3 linked regions of the Arabidopsis thaliana genome follow. The protein of the gene in region 1 interacts with the protein of each later gene in a pairwise test. Each region holds a gene or a part of one and is shown in the gene's direction. Other genes may lie near its edges. The genes, in order: PIP2B, AT5G61630 and LUL1.

Region 1 (6,607 bases):
AACCGGGTAATAAACCGGACCGGTTTCGATATATGATACCTGAGATACCGGCGGTGCAGTAGACAAGGATGAAGATCATGCCACCAAAAGCCCACGCGATGCCAAGGATTCCGACGCCGCCGCAGTCAACTCCACCGGCTTTTGTGTCGGACTGAATCTTGTAACCAATGACAGTTAAAACGGTGACGTACAAGAAGAGGAGAGTGGCTACGAACTCGGCGATGACTGCTCTGTATAAAGACCACTTGGTAAGCTCCTCTGCGTCGAAAAACGGTGTTGGCGGAGGATCTTCGTAATCTCTCGTCTGAAATCCATCAGGTCCTTCCACGTCTTTAGCCATATGTGTTAATGGATGTTTCTGGACTTTCTAAGTAAGTGTTTTGCTTTGTGGTTGTTGTAGGGCTTGTGGTTGTGAGATGAAGAATAAAGGTTCTTTATATAGAGTGAGCTCTTGGTTTGTGCTACTGTTGATTTTGACACTTTTGATTTAATGTCACAACTTACAACATTGATGTTTTGTTTTATGGTATTTTTTTTTGTAACGAATGCATAAGTTGGTTTAGTGGTAATTTTTTTTTTTTGCTAAAGAAGTTGGTCAGTGGTAACTAAAGGAAATCTAAAACAAGTATTAATTTTTTTTTTATCTCAGTAACTTGATAATCTAAATCAGTGAGAACCAATACAAAAAATCTCCTAAAGATATAATTTAACATTTCCTGAAAAGTTTATACAAATAGTATAAATCTCATACTGTAATTCATTTCCAAATAACTAGATTGTTAAATGCTACTGATAGATCACCGTCCCAAGAGTCACGTCATTAAATTTTGTTAGGCATCACCCAAAAAATTTGACCGTTGACAAAAAACCAAAAACCGATAAAACGTGAGCAATTATATAAGTGAACATATTTGACAATGATGATCATATATACTTGTGTGTTAACATACATACCTTATCTTTTAGCTGTATCCACATTGCATATACTGTAGGTGCTTTTTAAGTTTTTGATAAATAATGATTTTATATGATTAGTAAAGTATTTGTCTCGATCGTGTCACACGATTCTTTTGTTTTTCTGCCGTTTCAAGCACATTCTGGATCATTCGTGCATCTTTTTCATGATAGTTGGTAAACATATAGTATATATAGTAAGCGAATATTTGTATAGGAAAATGAAATGGTATTTTAGGTCATTTTGTATAATAAGTTAAATAACGCATAAATACGTAATTTATTTGAGACTTAACTTTTTCGGTGTAAGCTGAGTGTTAAATCTGTCATAGGACACTACAATCAAATTATAACTCTATATATACTCCATCGACTATATATTGACTCAACATATCATGATAGAATTACATATGAGTCAGATGTAATTTTATGATCTGTTATTGTGGATTCATTGTTAGCAAGCATATATATACGTGTGTTCAGAAGACTAAAAAATTTACTATGAAATGAAAGAACATTTATTTGTTTGGAACAAAAAATGTTTATCATAACAAATTAACCCATTTTTCCACAGAGAACAATACCATTCGTAACCAATATCGAGTAGACAATTCTTTAACAAAACAGAAAGCGACAAAGATGAAAGAAAACAAAAATAAAACCAGGGGAGAGACCGAGAGAGAGAGAGCACCTTTCTGACGTGGAAATATAATCCAATAAGAGCAGAGAAATGTCGCTACAACGATAAGGATATTGTGACGTGGCAAAACATTGGCCATGAACACCACATTACACCACATTCCTTTTGTCTATGTACACTTTTTATTTTTCCAATTTATTTTTGTAGACAGACTAGTGATTAGTGAATACTGAATAATATACGTAAGAAAATTGCAATTGGAAATTTGGAATTGAGGAGTGAGAGCAAATGATTGTTGAATATGGGGACTAAACAACGTGGCATAAGAGGAGTGGTTGGGACGGCTGAACTGGAGTTGGACTTAATCTGTATGGACGGTGCCGATGCAATTGACGGAGCTAATCAATTCTATATGGGGCGGTTTCTCCGGTCCAGTGGACCCAACTTTCATCATATTTTCTACTTTAGTGGAAACATAACCCGTGAAGCGACGCCGTTTCTTTTATCATGTCCATGTGATAAATTATGTTTTTGTTATATGGTAGGGTTAGCTGAGAGCTATCAAAAGACTCTTTTTTATCCACCTAATAGATTTGATTTGTAACGTTAAGAGCATAGGAAGTCAATTTAATCGTTACTAATTACATGCATAAGAACTAGTATAACTATATAAGGAGCTCCTTCTAGAAATTAAATGAAGGATGATAGAATCTAGATAATCAGAAATTTTACTATTGATCAATCTAGCTATCTCGTAGTTCAAAAAGCTTTATCGTTAACAAGTAACAACTTTCAAGTATTGCCCAAATAGATAAGGTTCATAACTTCATATTTTTTATTTATTTTATGTGTAAAAGAGTGACAGTCTATATTATTCTAGGGGGAGGACAAGGCTCATGACATAGGACAAGAGAAAGAAAAATATAGAAGCATATAGTATATTAGGGTCGGTCCAAATGAAAACAACGTTTAGGTATGGGGCGGCGAGGCTAAGTTAAATTAACCACAAAACTCCATTATCAACCATAATTTTAGAATTAAAAGGTCTCTGTTCCTATTGATAGCTCCACAATCATTCTTTTAAATAATCAGAATCTCAAATAAGTTCATCTTTAGTTACAGATTTGTATCAATAGTTGAAGTTGAAACCAAAATAATAATAATTTAGTTATAGTTAATTTTGTCAACAAAACAATACCTTAACTATCATATTATGACAAACACTAATTGAGATGAAAAACTCTTAGCAGTAGCTAATTCTTACTATCATCAGTTAATTATACTAATGTATATGGAAATTCTGCTTAAACAAAAAAAAAACAGTGGAACATGAATATATTAAGCAAAATCAGTTTCTATTGATTATGTAGCAATGATTAGATTGGTTTAGATTATATATCATCATGACAGCTAGCTAGGTAATTAATTAGTGAAAGAAAGTTTCCACAAAAATAATCATAATCGTCATACACACAATTCTATATTCATTTCATTGAAACGAATAATAAAAACAACCATAAGCCTACCAAAAGGAAAACATTATCGTAATATAATCAATCAATAACACGTATACAATTATTAACGTATATTGACAAGCAAAATTAATGAGAGCACTCACTATAGCTATAGTCTCTCTATATAAACAACTTTCATTCGTCTCTTCAGTCTTCACAAACACAACATATCCACAATACAAAACACAACTTTCATATATAACAAAAAAAGTTATAGAAATGGCCAAAGACGTGGAAGGACCTGAGGGATTTCAGACAAGAGACTACGAAGATCCGCCACCAACTCCGTTTTTCGATGCGGACGAGCTTACCAAGTGGTCTTTATACAGAGCCGTCATTGCCGAGTTCGTAGCCACTCTCCTCTTCTTGTACATCACCGTTTTAACTGTCATCGGTTACAAGATTCAGTCCGACACAAAAGCCGGTGGAGTTGACTGCGGCGGCGTCGGAATCCTTGGCATCGCGTGGGCTTTTGGTGGCATGATCTTCATCCTTGTCTACTGCACCGCCGGTATCTCAGGTATCATATATCGAAACCGGTCCGGTTTATTACCCGGTTCAGAAAATTTAACATTTGTGGACCTTTCAAATTTGTCCTTTGTTTTGTAATTTATTTGAAATTAACCCCAAGAACTTTGTAGGTGGTCACATAAACCCTGCGGTGACGTTTGGTTTGTTCTTAGCCCGGAAGGTATCGCTGATTAGGGCGGTGCTTTACATGGTGGCTCAGTGTTTGGGTGCTATTTGTGGAGTTGGTTTCGTCAAAGCCTTTCAAAGCTCTTACTATGATCGTTACGGTGGAGGAGCCAACTCTCTAGCAGACGGCTACAACACAGGCACCGGACTAGCCGCAGAGATCATTGGAACATTCGTTCTCGTCTACACAGTCTTCTCCGCTACTGATCCCAAACGTAACGCTAGAGACTCCCACGTTCCGGTTAGTATTTATTTCTATCAGTTATAAGATCGTTCTGGTAACATACGATAACATTAATTAATACTTAGTGTTATGAATTATGAAACGAAAGGTTTTGGCGCCACTTCCGATTGGGTTTGCGGTGTTTATGGTACATTTGGCCACTATTCCGATCACCGGAACCGGCATCAACCCGGCTAGGAGTTTCGGAGCTGCCGTAATCTATAACAAGAGCAAGCCATGGGATGACCACGTACGTTTCTATTTCTTAATTATTTAAAATTAATCAAATTATGGACTATTGTTTGATGGGAAAATAATGAACTGTTTTTTTGGTCTATCTAAATACAGTGGATATTCTGGGTGGGACCATTCATTGGAGCTGCGATAGCTGCATTTTATCACCAATTTGTCCTAAGGGCTTCAGGTTCCAAGTCACTTGGATCCTTCAGAAGTGCAGCCAACGTTTGAGTTTTTGCCACACAAAAAAAAACCTATCATAATAACAACAATTACAAAATGGTTGTGTTATTATGTATGTACAAAAATTGGCAACTTTGCTTGTAAAACTATGCACTATATTTCTTCTTGTTTTTCTGTTTTCATTGTGGTGTAATACTTTGATATGTGCCAATGCCAATGTTTGTGTACTCGGGAAAACAATTAATGAAAACCAAATTGTTTTGCCTTCTCCTCCCTCTTTTTATTTTATACAGATGATATTACCAGCTAAAAGCATATCTACATAGACTACATTAATAGTTATAATTTATAAGTTCATGTGATTTAAATTATCCTCCACTGAAGAGGATTAAGACAGAACAAAAACTTATGTGTTTGGCACTTTTTTGTCAGCTTGTCGCCATCACCTAATTAAACAACAACTAAAGCACAAGTCAATTGGTAAGATCGTCTCAAATTCAATTAATCTACACCAAAAACGAATTTTGTTGAACACTTAGTTTTGAGTTGACATTCCACTCACTAGTTTAAGCTCATAGAATTTGTAACGAGAGCTTACGCAGGAAAGCTGTTGGTTCAACAACTAATTTGCGTCACTTTACTTAAAGTATACAAACGTCATTTTCAGAAATAACAATATCAAGAAGAGCGTGAACAAAATATTAAAAACCTATAGATGGTCATACAGACAAAAACTTCGAAATTTCTTTAATCCAATGTAGATTATCCAAAAAATGTGCCTCAAGACCAAAATCAGGGTTTTACATAAATCGAAACAATAATAGGAAAACTTTAAAAATTTCGTAACAGTTTTGCAACTGCAAGAAAATACACTTTTGCGTCTTCTTCCGAAGCACCAATCTTGAATTATTAGTTTTTGGTTAGCTTTTGTTGGATATAAACCCTAAAATCCAAAAGATCTGTTTTCTCTTAATTACATCTGAAAACTCTCTTTATCTCCTTTCATCTCCATCAATCCCCAGAAATGTCTCAGCCTCTCTCCCACACATCGATAGAGTCAGATTCAGTACCGAGGAGAGATATTCACAGGGTTTCCTTTCGAAACCACGACCTGAAACAATATGATTTAAATGGTGACTGAATTAACTGGAACCACCAACCTTGCTGGTCAGCGAGGGTTTGCTTGTGGTTGGATTTGTTGCTTCTGAGCTGCTGCTGGGCTGGGTGTCAGGTCGTGTCCAGATCTTTAAATGGCCTTCTCTGCAAGCTGTTATCAATGATTCTTGGGTGAAGATCAAGCCCGAGAGGGGCTCGGTGTGAACACGGTGAGCCACTACTGGTGAGAGCTTTGGGACATCGCGCATGCACGGCGCTGGCTGAAGAGTGCCCATTGGAACAATGTTGTCCCAGTGAGCGGACTGACTCCCTGTGCTGTAAGTGGGTGATCCTCCTGGAGGTCGCCGTAGGGGAACAACAATCTCATCCATTTCTAGGTCCCATAGCAGTAACTGTGTGTCCTGTTCGGCACAAGAAAAGGGAATAAAGACATGGAATGCAAGCCAAAAGGCCCAAAACCCCAAAGATGATCATAGTATAAGTTATCAAACAATGACCACAGGGCGTGCCATTTTCTAACAAATTTCTACCCAGCAGATTAACAAATCTATACCCGTAATCTGGCAAAAGCCACATGAGGGAAGTAAGATGAAATCTTTAATTGGGAATTTCTTTTGGTCATATGGGGTGATAGCATCGTCTACATGAAATTTCCAATCAAAGATTTCATCTCACTTCTCTCACTCTTTATCGCTCCCCTACACTAGAATCATTCTACAATCTGTATCCTGTTAAACTAATAGAAATAAAGGTATTAACACTGTTCAATTCTCAGATATAGGTCAAGGTATACTCTCAACGTTAAAGCAAAAAAGTGTTTAGTATAACTGAATACCTGACCAACAGAACCAAACCGATACATGACATTCTCGCCAGACCCCTCTGAATTTGGTGACGACCAATACGAATCAAACGCCACACCACTTACCTATGAGGAAGCTTTCACATAAGTCAAGTAGTGTTTGTCTTACATACGTAATTCACTATACTCCAATTTAAGAACCTTACCCACGAATTGTGTCCCTCACCCCATGCCACAACCTT
Region 2 (6,479 bases), on another chromosome or scaffold:
CTACTCCATTCATTACAAGTATCATTTTAGATTTTTGTTTAAAACTAAATGCATTTTTTACGAAACAATAAAAGTCTTATTTTATGTATATCCTTGAAAAAATATAGTTGGATGGAAATATATTCCCTAGTAAACGTTAAAACTCTTCAACTAAAATTATTATCATGTGGTAGTTCACAAATCACGCATTTTATGTTTGATTTTGTAGTTTCATTTGAATACTCAAGATTAGTTTTGAATTAACAATCTAGTGATTATGATCATCGCATGGTTAAGCCATTGGCCTGAGAATTTATTATTAATTAAACCGACTTCTGGTGATATTAACTAACTTAGCTTCTAAAACATGGAAAATTATAGAAATTTACAAGAGAAGAAAAAAGCGGGAAAACCCAATGGAAATATAGGCAATTTATAGAGTTTTAGGGTGAATTTGTTTTAGCGTACTAAACTTTCTTTTTTTAAGGACTAAGGAGACTTCTGATTTCTGAATCCATCAAAAGGTATAAATTTTCTATCAAAAATGATTGTAGCTTGCAGGAGAAAAAAAACTCTTAAGCTTGAGTTTTAAACATTGGGAGGATATGATTAATTTGTTGTGTTTGAGAAAGAATATACAATAATAGTAACTTAAGATTTGGTTTTTCCTTGGGGTTAAGTTGGTTTACCTGCCAAACTAGCCCTTAAGTTTTCATCACATTCGTATTTCTCTTAAGCTTTACAAGAATTTCTATTAGTCTGAATATAAATATAGATGTCAGGATATCTTAACATTTCGCACCAAAAAAAAAGATATCTTAACAAAGTACTGAAGAAAATATATAGTATAATAATTGAAGTGAAATCATACAATTGAGTTAGAAACTAGCTAGCAAAAATTACTTTAAATTATTGCAATTAGTAATTGTTTTATTTTAGATGTTTCATGAAACATATTTTTTCTTTTTCCACGAAATTTCTTTTAGTTGACGTTCGTGAATCATCACTTTATTTGGAACAAGATAATAGTATTTTTTGCTTGAAGTCTTAACATGCAGTTTATTAAATTCGCCAAAAAACACCTACCATTATAAAACTTTATCGTATATTAATAGAATTGTCCATAGTTAGCATTTAATTAACTTTATGTTCGACGAATGGGACGAAACCGATGAACTCTCAATCATAAGTTAGCATTTAATTAACGAAAATGCGACTGAGAGAAAGCCACGTAAGAGAGTTGCGAGGCTGAACTTAAAATTCGTGCTATTCACGTTAGAGAGATAATGAACAACACGTTGTCAACATTCTATTTAAGCAGATTTTTGTTATCACAAGATCTCTCTCGCTTCTGTCTTTTTCACTTGCTTGACTTCCCCTTCCATTATCTTTTCTTCTGTACTTTGTATGAACGGTGCTTATTTTACTTACCTTATTCATATTAGTTGAGACCACATTAATTTAAAACCCAAAAAGAAAAACATACAATTCCAAAATTTGGAGTATAATCTCCTCGTCCAATAGTTGGCTGATAGCTTAAAAGGTTATCCACCCTAACGCAATGTTCAAAATTTTGCCTATTTCCGTTTTGATTTGTTTGGATGAAGAATGTTTTCTATCATTTTTAATTTGATTTTCCAAATTAGAGTTCACTTTGGTTTGGATCAATTTAACCCTTTAAGTTAGAGCCTAGTACACTAACTAAAACTGATGCTGAGTAAAAGACACTAAAAAATCATTTTACGTTTTACTCAAACTAGTTTTGATGAATCTTACAAGAACAAATTCAATCGAGAACATCCAAACAATACTATATACCTAAAGGATTGAACACTTAAAAAGTTTTATGAACAAGAACAAGTTACATAAGTAGCCTCGGCTTCTTTATTTTTCAACGATAATTGCTATAATCTATCATAGATAAGTGGAAGCATCCTCTGCTTTCGGTTAGAAGCAAGGCTTTTACCCGTAGCAGCGGATTGGGTCGTTGCAGCCTTTTTCCGTTGATTGCTTAAGACCAAACCTCCCTCCTTTAGACAAGTATTGCTGGTGATGTTCCTCAGCTCTATAAAATTTCTTAGCCGGTAAGATCTCTGTCACAACCTTCCTGTCAACTTGTTGCTGGTGCCGCTCCAGTGACTCGCGTGCTAGTTTCTCTTGCTCCGGGTTGTAGAAATATATCCCTGAACGGTATTGGGTTCCCACATCATTTCCCTGATCAGATAAGGATGTACTCATTAAAACAGAGAAACAAATTCGAACATAATGCACGACAAGCAGATAAACTACCAAATAAATAGTGATTCTGCATAAGAGCTGGTTAAGTGCTCTCTAAGAAACTACCAAAATACACATAAGGATGGTTCAGTGACCAAAGATGACAAGAACGATAGCCAAATTCACATCCTTATCAAAGAGAAGATGTATGAGTCTCTCTGTTCAGTTTCAAACATAAAACCTAAATTTTGTACCAACAGAACATGAAATGAATCCAAAGTATTACATCATCCAAACCCTAGATTTCAATCTATTTAGAGCTCAATATTTCAAGCAAGCCCTAGAAACCCTAGAAATCTTCCTCAATCACCAAAATCAAAACTTAAAACTCACAAAATCAGACATTCTAAAGAGCAAAACTTTCGTTACCTGCCGATTCAAAGTGGTGGGATCATGCTTAGACCAGAACAAATCAAGCAGCGACTGGTAACTACACTCTTTTGGATCATATTGAACACGAACAATCTCGGCATGATTCGTGGTACCTGAACAAACATCTTTGTAAGAAGGATCGTGAGTGATCCCTTGAGAATAACCAACCTCTGTTTGAGTCACTCCTGGAACTCTCTGGTACGCTAATTCCACGCTCCAGAAACAACCGGCGCCGAATTGAGTAAACTGGTTTCCCGGCGCCGGAGCTTCGTCGTCGATTACTTGTGCGATTGGAGAAGGATCCATGTTGGTTTGTCTACTTGATCCTATACCTAGCTTGTTAAGTATGTTCATGGAGAAATTTTGTAGAGAGAGCGAAACAGAGAAACAGAGGAAAGTGGTGAAGAGGAAACGTCGGCTGATTCTGCGGAACATTTTGTACCAAATTCTGACAGGTATAAAATTCGCGTTTGCGTTTACGTTTTGAATAACGATAAAAATAATTTTAGAAACCAGTTTTGGTTGACATTTCATTCAAGCAGTTCAAATTGACAATCTTTAAAATCTTTTTTTTTTTTTTTTTTTTAATCTTTAAAATCTTAAAACTAAGATTAGTTAGTTTCAAGCATGATCAAATCATATGTTTATAAAATGTCACAGAAATAGAAGAAGAAAACAAAGAATCTAAAGAAATGGTTGTTTTTGTCACTCTCAAATGGAAAAATGAGTGATTAGATTGAACGATTTGACAAAGTCCTTATTTCGATCCAAATGTACCAAAACCATAGGCTCTAAATTCGCAATTCAATCCGGATTCTTTTTTCTTCTAAGAAATAAAAAACTGTGACTAAAATGTAACAAAGAAACTGATTAAGCTCAAAAACCATCAACATCCTAAAAACGTAATTTCTATAGAGTTTTTGGAACACACCTATCAAAACCAAAAATACTTATCAAAATGTATAGATCCGCGAGCTGGAACCGAGTGCCAGAAGACTACTCATCCGCACCGCCTAAGGGATTGTGGATGGGCTCGGTGATCGGTCCCCTCGACGAGAACGAACTACCTTCCTACAATAATCCACCAGAGGAGATGGTTAAGAAGGAGAAGTCACGTGCCAAATTCGCAGAAAACGCCATTCACATCATACCATTTGTTCTCCTTGCATGCGCTCTCGTACTTTGGCTCTTCTCAAATCCAGGTATATACAATTAGTGAGCCAAAAACATGCTTGTGTTTGATCAAACCATGCCCGGTTTTAAAGTGAAAGAAAAAACATGCATGTTGTTAACCACGAACTCATCCGCAATAATCCAACATGATCAAATTGGATTGCAAATGGTAGAGAGATCATGTCTGCATTTGGCGGTTGTGAAGTTGGGAAATATTTTATGTAACTGTTACATGTTGATACTTTATTCTTTGTGGCACTTATAACATCGATCCAAATTTTGAAGATGTGGATGTTGGGATGAGAGAAGAATCTATTGCGGCTAAGATTGAAGGATTGACGATCGAAGGAGACATCGACAATGATAGCGATGGAACTCAGACCGGTTTCTTGGGTGCCACCTTAGAACTCGGAGATCCTGACAAACCAAACCTCACTGATAGAACCAGACGAGCTTCTAGGAAATTGATCAAAGGATTTTACTAGTTAATCAACACCATTTTTTTAATTTTCTCCCAATGAATGTTGATTTTACTCAATAAACTTCACCAAAACTAAGATTTTTTTTGTTTTGTTTTTGGTTGATAAAGAAGCAGCTAAATATAAATCCAAATATATCTATATTCTTATTTAATCTAATCTGGGAAGAAATAAAAATGATACATAATCCGATTGGCAAAACTTTTGAATATGGAGCTATATATTCAAATAAAACTCAACACCAAAAAAAAGAAGCAATATACCTATATCATGCTTAAATAAACACACAAAAAATGAGATTTCATTTCACATGAATAACGCCATGACCAGTCAAGTCAGAAGCTCCAGTAGCTTGTGGAGGCAAACCGATATGAAGATCCAAACCGTCTTTATTTGTCATATTAGAAGCTTCACTCGGTTGAGACAGAGGCAAACCAATCGGTATATGTCTTGGAACAGGTATACCAGAAGGATGAACAAACCTAACCGGTACTTGAGGGTTGGCATAGTACATTGGATAATTTGGATGGTACATAATAGGTGGAAAGTTGTAGTAAGGTGGTATGGGTTGGTAGATTGGCATATACTCCATTGATAAATTCTGAAACCTGTTCGAAATCTCGGTTTGAGTATGACCTTGTACTACCGGTTGTTGAATTCCGGTTATTGGTTGTTTAGGTGGAGTCTTTGTTGAAGCATCTTGAGAGTTCCTCTCTTTCTCCTTCTGTTTAATGAAAAAACAATTAAACCCTAAATTAAAAAATAGCCCTAGACAAATCAATTGACTCAATGGATTACTTGAGAAACAAGGTAAATAAGTACCTGATCTTCGAGAGAGATGTCAAAGAGACTAGCACGTCTTTTTCTCTTGTCGTTAACGTTTAACCTAATAAAATATTTCTGAGCATGACTTGCGACTTGTGTTGGTGTTCTTGTCGACACGAAACTCTTTGCAATGCCTCTCCAATCTCCTTTTCCGAGTTTGTTTAAACCGATTAAGAAATTACGATGTTCTTCTTCCGTCCATGGCTTCCCTGAATTTGATTTATTCTTATTAATTTCATTGAATTTAGATTATCAAATTGATGAGATTAGAAGATTACGTACCCTTTTTCTTCTCATGAGCAGTTTTACCCTTCTTGGAATGAATCTGACCATCGGAATGATAACCGGTATCATCAACGGCGGCGATAGGATCACCGCTACCGTTACTTTCATCGTTAGCGAGAAGAGCATCAAGGTTTCCCAAACTAAGACTCTTCCTTAACGCCGTTACCTCAGGCGGCCTAATCGGATCAGACGATATATTAACGCCGAACAGTTTAACACTTGCCTTATTAACGCCGTTGAGACAAGTCCGTGCGTTATGGCCATTATGGCCACAGTGTGAGCACGTTTTCGCCACCGTCACCGTCTCCTTCACCATCTCTCTCTCGCCACCAATGTTTTCGGTATCACAAGAATTAGAATCACAAGATCTCGCTAATTGTATTTATACCTTAAACTCTCTTGTGTAATGATATATATATATATATATATATATATATATATGCGGATATGCGTGAGCTGTTATTTGTGAATGTCCTTGGTGTTTTTACATTTTTTTATTTTCCTTAAGAGATAAAGCGTTTCCTTAATTATCTTGTTTTATTTGGAAGTTTTTACCCAAGTCATTATAAGGAAAAATCCAGCAGAATCAGCGTAGGATCATAATCGACGGTTAACATTTTCTTAAGATAGGATTCGTGGAAAATCAGCCGTTAGATTGTTTTCCAGGTAAACATGTACTGGATATTGATCCCGGATATTTAGGAGAGATATTAAATCGTATATTCGATTTTATTTTTTTATTTTCTTTCCTAAGTTACCCATATTTTTATCAATATCAATCCTAATCTTAATATAACTGGAATTTACTTACTTTTATCTTCATCCATATTAGTTAATATCTCATATTTCCTAAGTTACCCATATTTCTATTTCTTCCAAAGTTTTTACATATATATACTCCTATATATATTTGCGATAAATTCAGAGTATAATTTTTTTAAATAACTTTGTGATATAATTCGATCCAATCTAAACGCGTTGAGATCTAATTGGATACTTGGAAATTTAGATCAATATAGGAACAAAGTCCTCGTTTCCTTATTTAGGGAAACCTTTTTTGTTTATTTGTTTATTGCAGTCAGTGTGTGA
Region 3 (6,607 bases), on another chromosome or scaffold:
CTGTTGGAAAATTTCATATTATGTCAAATGATCAGCTCCGTATTGTATCTATGCTTATGTTATGTTCGAAAAATGGACTCCTAAAAATGACACATTACAAAAAAAAATAAAAATAAAAAATAGCTTCGAGGCCTTTGAGGGTAAAAGCTCTAACCTCTCTCATAAAAGAATTAAAAATGGATCTTTGGATATCAAGAAAATTATTTTGAAATAATTAAATTGAACCAAAATCAGAAAACAAAACACATGACATTGTTGATTTGTCGTTTACTAAACCGATTTTCATTTGCCTAATTCTATTTTTATTGTGTTAGATCAAATAATGATGTCATCTTGTGTGTTTTACAACTAATAATAATTAAATTAGCAATTAACTATGGTAGACCTTAGCTTCGACCACCCTATACAAGCATATATCAATTTCGGTTATCAAAAAAAAAAGAAAAAAGAATCCGTTTGTAAAATTTTGCTAGTGAATTATATCTCTAATCCATATTCTCGATTGATGAAACATTATTCTGACATACATTAAAAAATTAGTTTAAGAATATTTTTGCAAAACTTATGCGATGTGATAAGCTCACTTTTTTTAGGTGACATGTTCGATCATAAGGTGCCAATAATTCCCTAGAAATAGATTAATCTCTATGTAAAATATCGAATCGTCTAGTGACAAGTACATGGTATACCTACCTATTCACTTATTATTTCTATTTTTGTCGTCCTCATGCATCTTATGTTATAATATCAAATGACGGAAAATGAGGGATGAATTCTATAAGCTAAGAAAACTAAAATAAGGGGGAAATTGCAAGAAGAATGAAAGCAACCTTTCAAATATCCTTATCTTATCCAATCCTTTTCAGGCCATTGACTTATTTTCTAATTAACCTAATTATATATATAAGAAAAAGCTAAGGCATCTTATATTTATATATACATATATCAATTGATTGCTAATAATGTTTTGATTAACTCTGCATATGGCATGTTTTCCAGCGATTTAAGTTCACAAAGAAGATTTTCGTTTTTGTCATCACTAAAAATTATCTAGTTCTTTCTACTTTTTCAGCGTACAATAATCTTTTTTTCTATCAATTGGTACGTTTTTTATTTTCTCAATTTTAATTTTGTTTTCTAGGTACATTTTTAATCGAATTGCACCAAAATATCCAAACAAATCAATAAAACAGGCAGAATGAGGTATTACCGTATTAGTTAAACGAGAAGTGGCTACTTTCCTCAGCGTGATTAAAATGCTTATGGGTTCAGTTTCATAATTCTCATATACGGAACTACGCATTTGACCTCATGCTCTCTATAAATATTAAGATCTGATGTTGAGAGCCCATTAGAACTAAGTTTACGAATGAGCCCATGATAGTTTAACTTGGGCCTAATTAGTGTCTAATCTGCTTCTAACGTTACCGAGTCAAACGCGGTCTAAACTAATTTGTAGAGTAGTGTATTTGTCCAAAGCGTACCCACACAATTGCTGAGAAACTTCAAACCCTAAGTGTGTGTCTAGTATTTTGCAATATACGACGCATAAAGAAATATCCTAACATTGACAACAACAAAAAAAAATCTTAGCGGAGATATAGACGTGTGAGACAAGAGCTCACACGTGTTGCACATTCGAGACTTGTTGATAATGACGACAACAAGAGGTTCTAGAATATTCGTGTTGGTTTCATTATTATTAGCAAATAAGACCAAGTCAACAAACTAACTTAAACATTGTGGATCGTCCACTTGTCCGACTCTTACGTCAAACCCATCATTGTTCCACATATCTCCACGCGTCAATCTCTCTATAAATACGAACAAATGAACACGTATCAATTCAACTCAAAAAGTAACAATTTGAATTACTTCCGCAAATCTAAAATAATATCTAGTGAAGCGAATATGTGTTTCTTTGATAATCGGTGCGATCAGAATCTGACGGTGGTGGTGGATGTGGCGTGGTGGATGGAGGCTGTTCCTCCACAAATCATTTCTCCGGCGAAGCCATCGGTTTCTCCGATTCTTGAGACGATTTTAGAAGGCGGAGAGACCGAAGAAGACAATCAAGAACAAGAAAACGAGGACGTGTAAATTGTAATGATCATTTTGTTACTCGGTCTTGGGTTTAAGATAGACTCTTGTTGTTGTTGTTGTTTTTTCTATAACTGTATAAGATGAGATTTTGTATTGTATCTTTTGTACAATCAAATCTCAGTTCTTTGTGAAATTTTCATTCAACTTTCACATCTTGTACGCTCGGTGATCTGTTGTTATATGCTCACGAGTTGGTAATTAAAGACAAATCTTAATATACTTTCTAACCGAACCGGGACGATAACCGGTCCACGACAAAAAATCAGTATCTTCAAATATCAAACCAAACTTAAACCTGAAACCAGTCTCACCGCTATTTCTGTTTGGTGCGATCATTTTCTCAACCAAAAGAATCTAATTTACATTAATTTTTAATAAAGACATGTATGATTTATCTGCAAACTAAAGCAGTGTACGCATACTTATGTTTCAACTTTCGAGCATCACCTAAATATGAAACATAAATATCACGTGCGATAAGTATTAAGCTGCGTCCTATAAAAAAGTATACAAATATATAAAGATCACTTGATGATTAGTTAATTACACTACTACTATTCCTCTCTATCTCTATAAATATCAGCAATAACAATAATTTCCACATAGATCTTCTCAACACAGTCGAAAGCTGCCGAAGTCTAAATCGAAGAAAGAGTATATTTACAAATCATGGCTAGGATGATCGGACCATTCGAAACTGTACCGGCGATTCTTGTTTATCCGATGAGGGTTTCAGCTTCGCCTTCGCTGGGGACAATTTATGAGGAACACGATGAGTAAAATTTTAACAAGACAAGATCAAAACTCGAGTGTTTAATTATTTTTTAATCCATTTTAATGAAATATTCATTTTGAAATATATCTTGATAGTGCTTTCTATTTCTTGGTTGATTTCCACTTTAAACTCTTTTTTATCGACGTTATTATGATCTCCTATATAATCAGACATAAGAGAAGATGTTTCTTAATGACGATCAGTGCAAGATGTTTCTTAATGACGAGCAGTGCTTCTTGTAATCGCCGGTATTAATGGATGTGTTTCTTTGTTTTCCGATCAACCTCCAAAACCAATCTCGTGTCTCCGGTTTTGTCATTTCGTTTCTTCTTATTTTGTAACCGTGATATTGTTGTGAGGCCTTGGGCCTATTGCCTGCCTAGTGCTACTGATAATGATTTCTTTGTTTTATGTGATTAAAAGTAATAATCAATTTCCCATGGTAATTAATCAAGTTTAATACTAATTTATAATATATACAAATAAACGTTTTGGTGTTTCTTCGTCGACGTCGCTATCTCCAATCTCATTACTCCCCTTTCTCAATGATCATAAAACCTACTTCGATTCTACTCCTTATCAACTGAATCACCGAAAAACCTCACCTTTTTTCTTTTTCCGATCATGGGGAATCTGATCAGTTTGATCTTCTGCTGCGGGAGAAGGCAGAGGAGCAATATTCCTCCGGCGATGGAAACGGCTCCTCTTGAACTCCCACCGAACAGATTTGTATTCGCCGCCGTGCCACCATATCTGAACCCTAACCCTAACTACGTTGACCAGTATCCAGGTAACTGCCTTCCTCCGCCAGTAACTGAGCCGCCGATGCTACCGTACAATTTCAACCATTTGCATCACTATCCTCCCAACAGTTACCAACTACCTCATCCTTTGTTTCACGGCGGTAGATACCCTATACTGCCGCCTCCTACGTACGTCCACCAGAAAGCCGTCACGATTCGTAACGATGTTAATCTGAAGAAGAAGACTTTAACGCTCATACCCGACCCGGAGAATCCGAATCGACTTCTTGTCTCCTTCACATTTGATGCATCCATGCCCGGAAGGTTTTACTTTCAAACTATGAAATGATCAAATTTAGTTAAAAGTTTGAATCTTGTTTGAATCAATCAATGGAGTAATATAAATGACTTAGCTTTTGTTGTTTTGGTTGGCGAGAACAGGATCACAGTTGTTTTCTTTGCTACAGAAGATGCAGAATGTAATCTTAGAGCTACAAAGGAAGATACTTTGCCTCCAATCACTTTTGATTTCGGAGAAGGACTTGGTCAGAAGTTCATACAATCATCTGGAACGGGTATAGACTTGACGGCGTTTAAAGATTCCGAGCTATTCAAGGAGGTGGATACAGATGTCTTCCCGTTGGCGGTTAAGGCGGAGGCAACTCCAGCGGAAGAAGGAAAGTCTGGTTCCACCAATGTGCAGATTACTCAAGTGGTGTATACCAAGGAGAAAGGAGAGATTAAAATAGAAGTGGTGAAGCAGATACTATGGGTGAATAAGAGGAGGTATGAGCTGCTTGAGATTTATGGGATTGAGAACACGGTTGATGGTTCCGATGAGGGAAAGGAATGTGTTGTATGCTTGTCTGAACCACGCGATACAACTGTTCTTCCTTGCAGACACATGGTATAGTGTTCATCATACTTAAAATTAGCTCATATAAAAAAAAAATTGAACTTCTTTTGAAATGGTTTGTGTATTTCTGTTTGGCAGTGTATGTGTAGCGGGTGCGCAAAGGCGTTAAGGTTTCAGACAAATCTGTGCCCAGTTTGCAGACAACCTGTTGAGATGCTTTTGGAGATTAACAAGAACGGATGAAATGGAGATGGAGAATGAACAAATTTAGTTAAGCAATCGACTTGTGTAATATATGCCATGCTTAATTAAGACGTAAAACGTTATGGTTCAATATATTATAAGTGGAAACTGAGTTCTTAAATAGCAATGATAAACAGATAGGCAGCTTCTTATTTAGTTATAGGTGCTTGGCCAGGAGCTGTGGTGGCCGAGGACCAACTATGGCAAACACAGAAGGTGATGGCATTACAACTGAGACAAAGACAGACACGAATCGACGTAGATAAGACTAAGGCGAAGCGAGATTGAGTTTTACATTGGTTTAGTCTTCCCACCATTGATGAACAAACACACCTCTGGCTCTCAGAGTTTGAAGCATGTTGATGCAGTCTGACTTGTGGTTGGAACAGCGGAGGAAAAGCTCATCCACGTAGCATATGACTCCTGTTTCCAGTAAAACAGTTAGGAACTTCATTTCCACTTGGTTTGTGTTCATCTTAAGGACTACAAAGTCTGCGTATTTCGCAGTTTCCTCAAACCAAGCAAGGAAATCGAATCTCTCATCTTCTGGAAATGGTTCTAGCTGTTCAAGCGGAGTTATCTTTTTCCCTGTCGAGTTGTTCTCAGCCAAATCCGGATGGTAAACAAAGGTGACGCCGGGTTTCTTGACATAGGATAGCATTACTGAAGTGTTGTGGTCGACAAAGTAGACATTGAATGCTTTGCTGTCGAGTGGGTATAACGGAAAGAACCAGTTTGGAGTTAAATTAGCATCCATGTGCTCGGCTGCTCCAATGTCAATGTAGACAAGGCTCTTTTTCAGAGAGAGATCAAGGAATTTAGGTAAGTAAGCTACTGATTTTGGGAAATCAGCAGGCTTTTGCTCCAGTAGAGGTTCCATGAACTCTGTGTAAGGTCTATTGGTGTCAACAGATTTGCAATCTCTTGGTAGCTGAGACTTTCCAATACAATAAGCAGTCTCCGTTACATTCCTCTTGAATACAATGACGGTGAACTTATCCAAGTTGTTCACACGCACTATCTCAGACTGCTTAAGCCCCGAAGTCACGGATTTGACAAGACGATTGGCATTAGTACTCACAAGGACTGCTCCGGTTCCACCAGGCTTCAGAACCCGCTCCATCTCAAGCACAAGAAGAGCAGGGGAAGCAACATGATCAACATCCCCACAGAGCACGAAATCAAAAGACTTGTCACCACTAAGCTCAAGCTCGTTGACATGCTTCCTACTGAAAAAGGAAAACAATGGATGCTTAGGAACCCCTTGAACAACTGAGAAACCCATCTCTTTGAACCCTGAAACAGCAGAATCCGATCCCTGACCAATGCAGAGAATCTTAGCATCATAATGCAATAGCTTTAACCCCATGAGCTCATCAACGAGATCAGCAATTACCACTTGTGGATACTTCTCTGTCTCAATTTTACCCCAGAATGGTTGAACGAGCTTATGGAAGAACAATTTCGGTCCTGGAATAACAAATCGGCCGAGATCGACCAAATCCACTGCTCCATGATCACCAAAGACGTGATTTTTAGCGGTTAACTCCAACAAAGGGACAACAGATAGAGCAGAGGCGATGATGAGAGCACGAAACAGAGCATGCCTATTCGTAGATCCACGGAAGATATTAAGCTTCAAGATCTTTATACCCATTGATTTCTTCAAATACTTCAGCTCCGATGGAATCTTAAAATATGATTAATGTCTAGTACGATTTGCTAAACAGATCTTAAGAACAAAGAAGAATCGCAAAGAGAAAATCGAAGAATCTAGCGAGTACAAAACCTGGAGGAGGTATGGTTTCCACCCACGAGGAGAACTATAGATATTTGTGATCCAAACCAGACCCTTCTTGGAACCCTAATCGACTTCACCTCCGTCCC

The links.
Region 2: the proteins of PIP2B (region 1) and AT5G61630 interact in a protein complementation assay, tested with the Arabidopsis thaliana proteins (one large-scale study listed by BioGRID).
Region 3: the proteins of PIP2B (region 1) and LUL1 interact in a protein complementation assay, tested with the Arabidopsis thaliana proteins (one large-scale study listed by BioGRID).

What each region holds. Positions count from the first base shown.
Region 1 is NC_003071.7:15,611,512-15,618,118, reverse strand, and holds PIP2B (plasma membrane intrinsic protein 2), read left to right. Parts: upstream 1-3,096; 5' UTR 3,097-3,198; coding exon 3,199-3,628; intron 3,629-3,749; coding exon 3,750-4,045; intron 4,046-4,136; coding exon 4,137-4,277; intron 4,278-4,375; coding exon 4,376-4,495; 3' UTR 4,496-4,751; downstream 4,752-6,607. Other genes in the region: RD28 (Aquaporin-like superfamily protein), read right to left, coding at 40-340; AT2G37160 (Transducin/WD40 repeat-like superfamily protein), read right to left, coding at 5,590-5,964, 6,399-6,486, 6,567-6,607.
Region 2 is NC_003076.8:24,771,610-24,778,088, reverse strand, and holds AT5G61630 (uncharacterized protein), read left to right. Parts: upstream 1-3,510; 5' UTR 3,511-3,586; coding exon 3,587-3,830; intron 3,831-4,086; coding exon 4,087-4,286; 3' UTR 4,287-4,581; downstream 4,582-6,479. Other genes in the region: PMSR1 (peptidemethionine sulfoxide reductase 1), read right to left, coding at 1,942-2,193, 2,626-3,063; AT5G61620 (myb-like transcription factor family protein), read right to left, coding at 4,582-5,004, 5,103-5,314, 5,388-5,706.
Region 3 is NC_003076.8:758,563-765,169, reverse strand, and holds LUL1 (RING/U-box superfamily protein), read left to right. Parts: upstream 1-3,329; 5' UTR 3,330-3,502; coding exon 3,503-3,945; intron 3,946-4,062; coding exon 4,063-4,528; intron 4,529-4,615; coding exon 4,616-4,720; 3' UTR 4,721-4,851; downstream 4,852-6,607. Other genes in the region: DIP2 (E3 ubiquitin-protein ligase), read left to right, coding at 1,831-2,100; AT5G03204 (uncharacterized protein), read left to right, coding at 2,773-2,883; CPUORF47 (peptide upstream protein), read right to left, coding at 5,022-6,327, 6,510-6,607. UniProt on the Arabidopsis thaliana protein: Acts as an E3 ubiquitin-protein ligase, or as part of E3 complex, which accepts ubiquitin from specific E2 ubiquitin-conjugating enzymes and then transfers it to substrates (in vitro).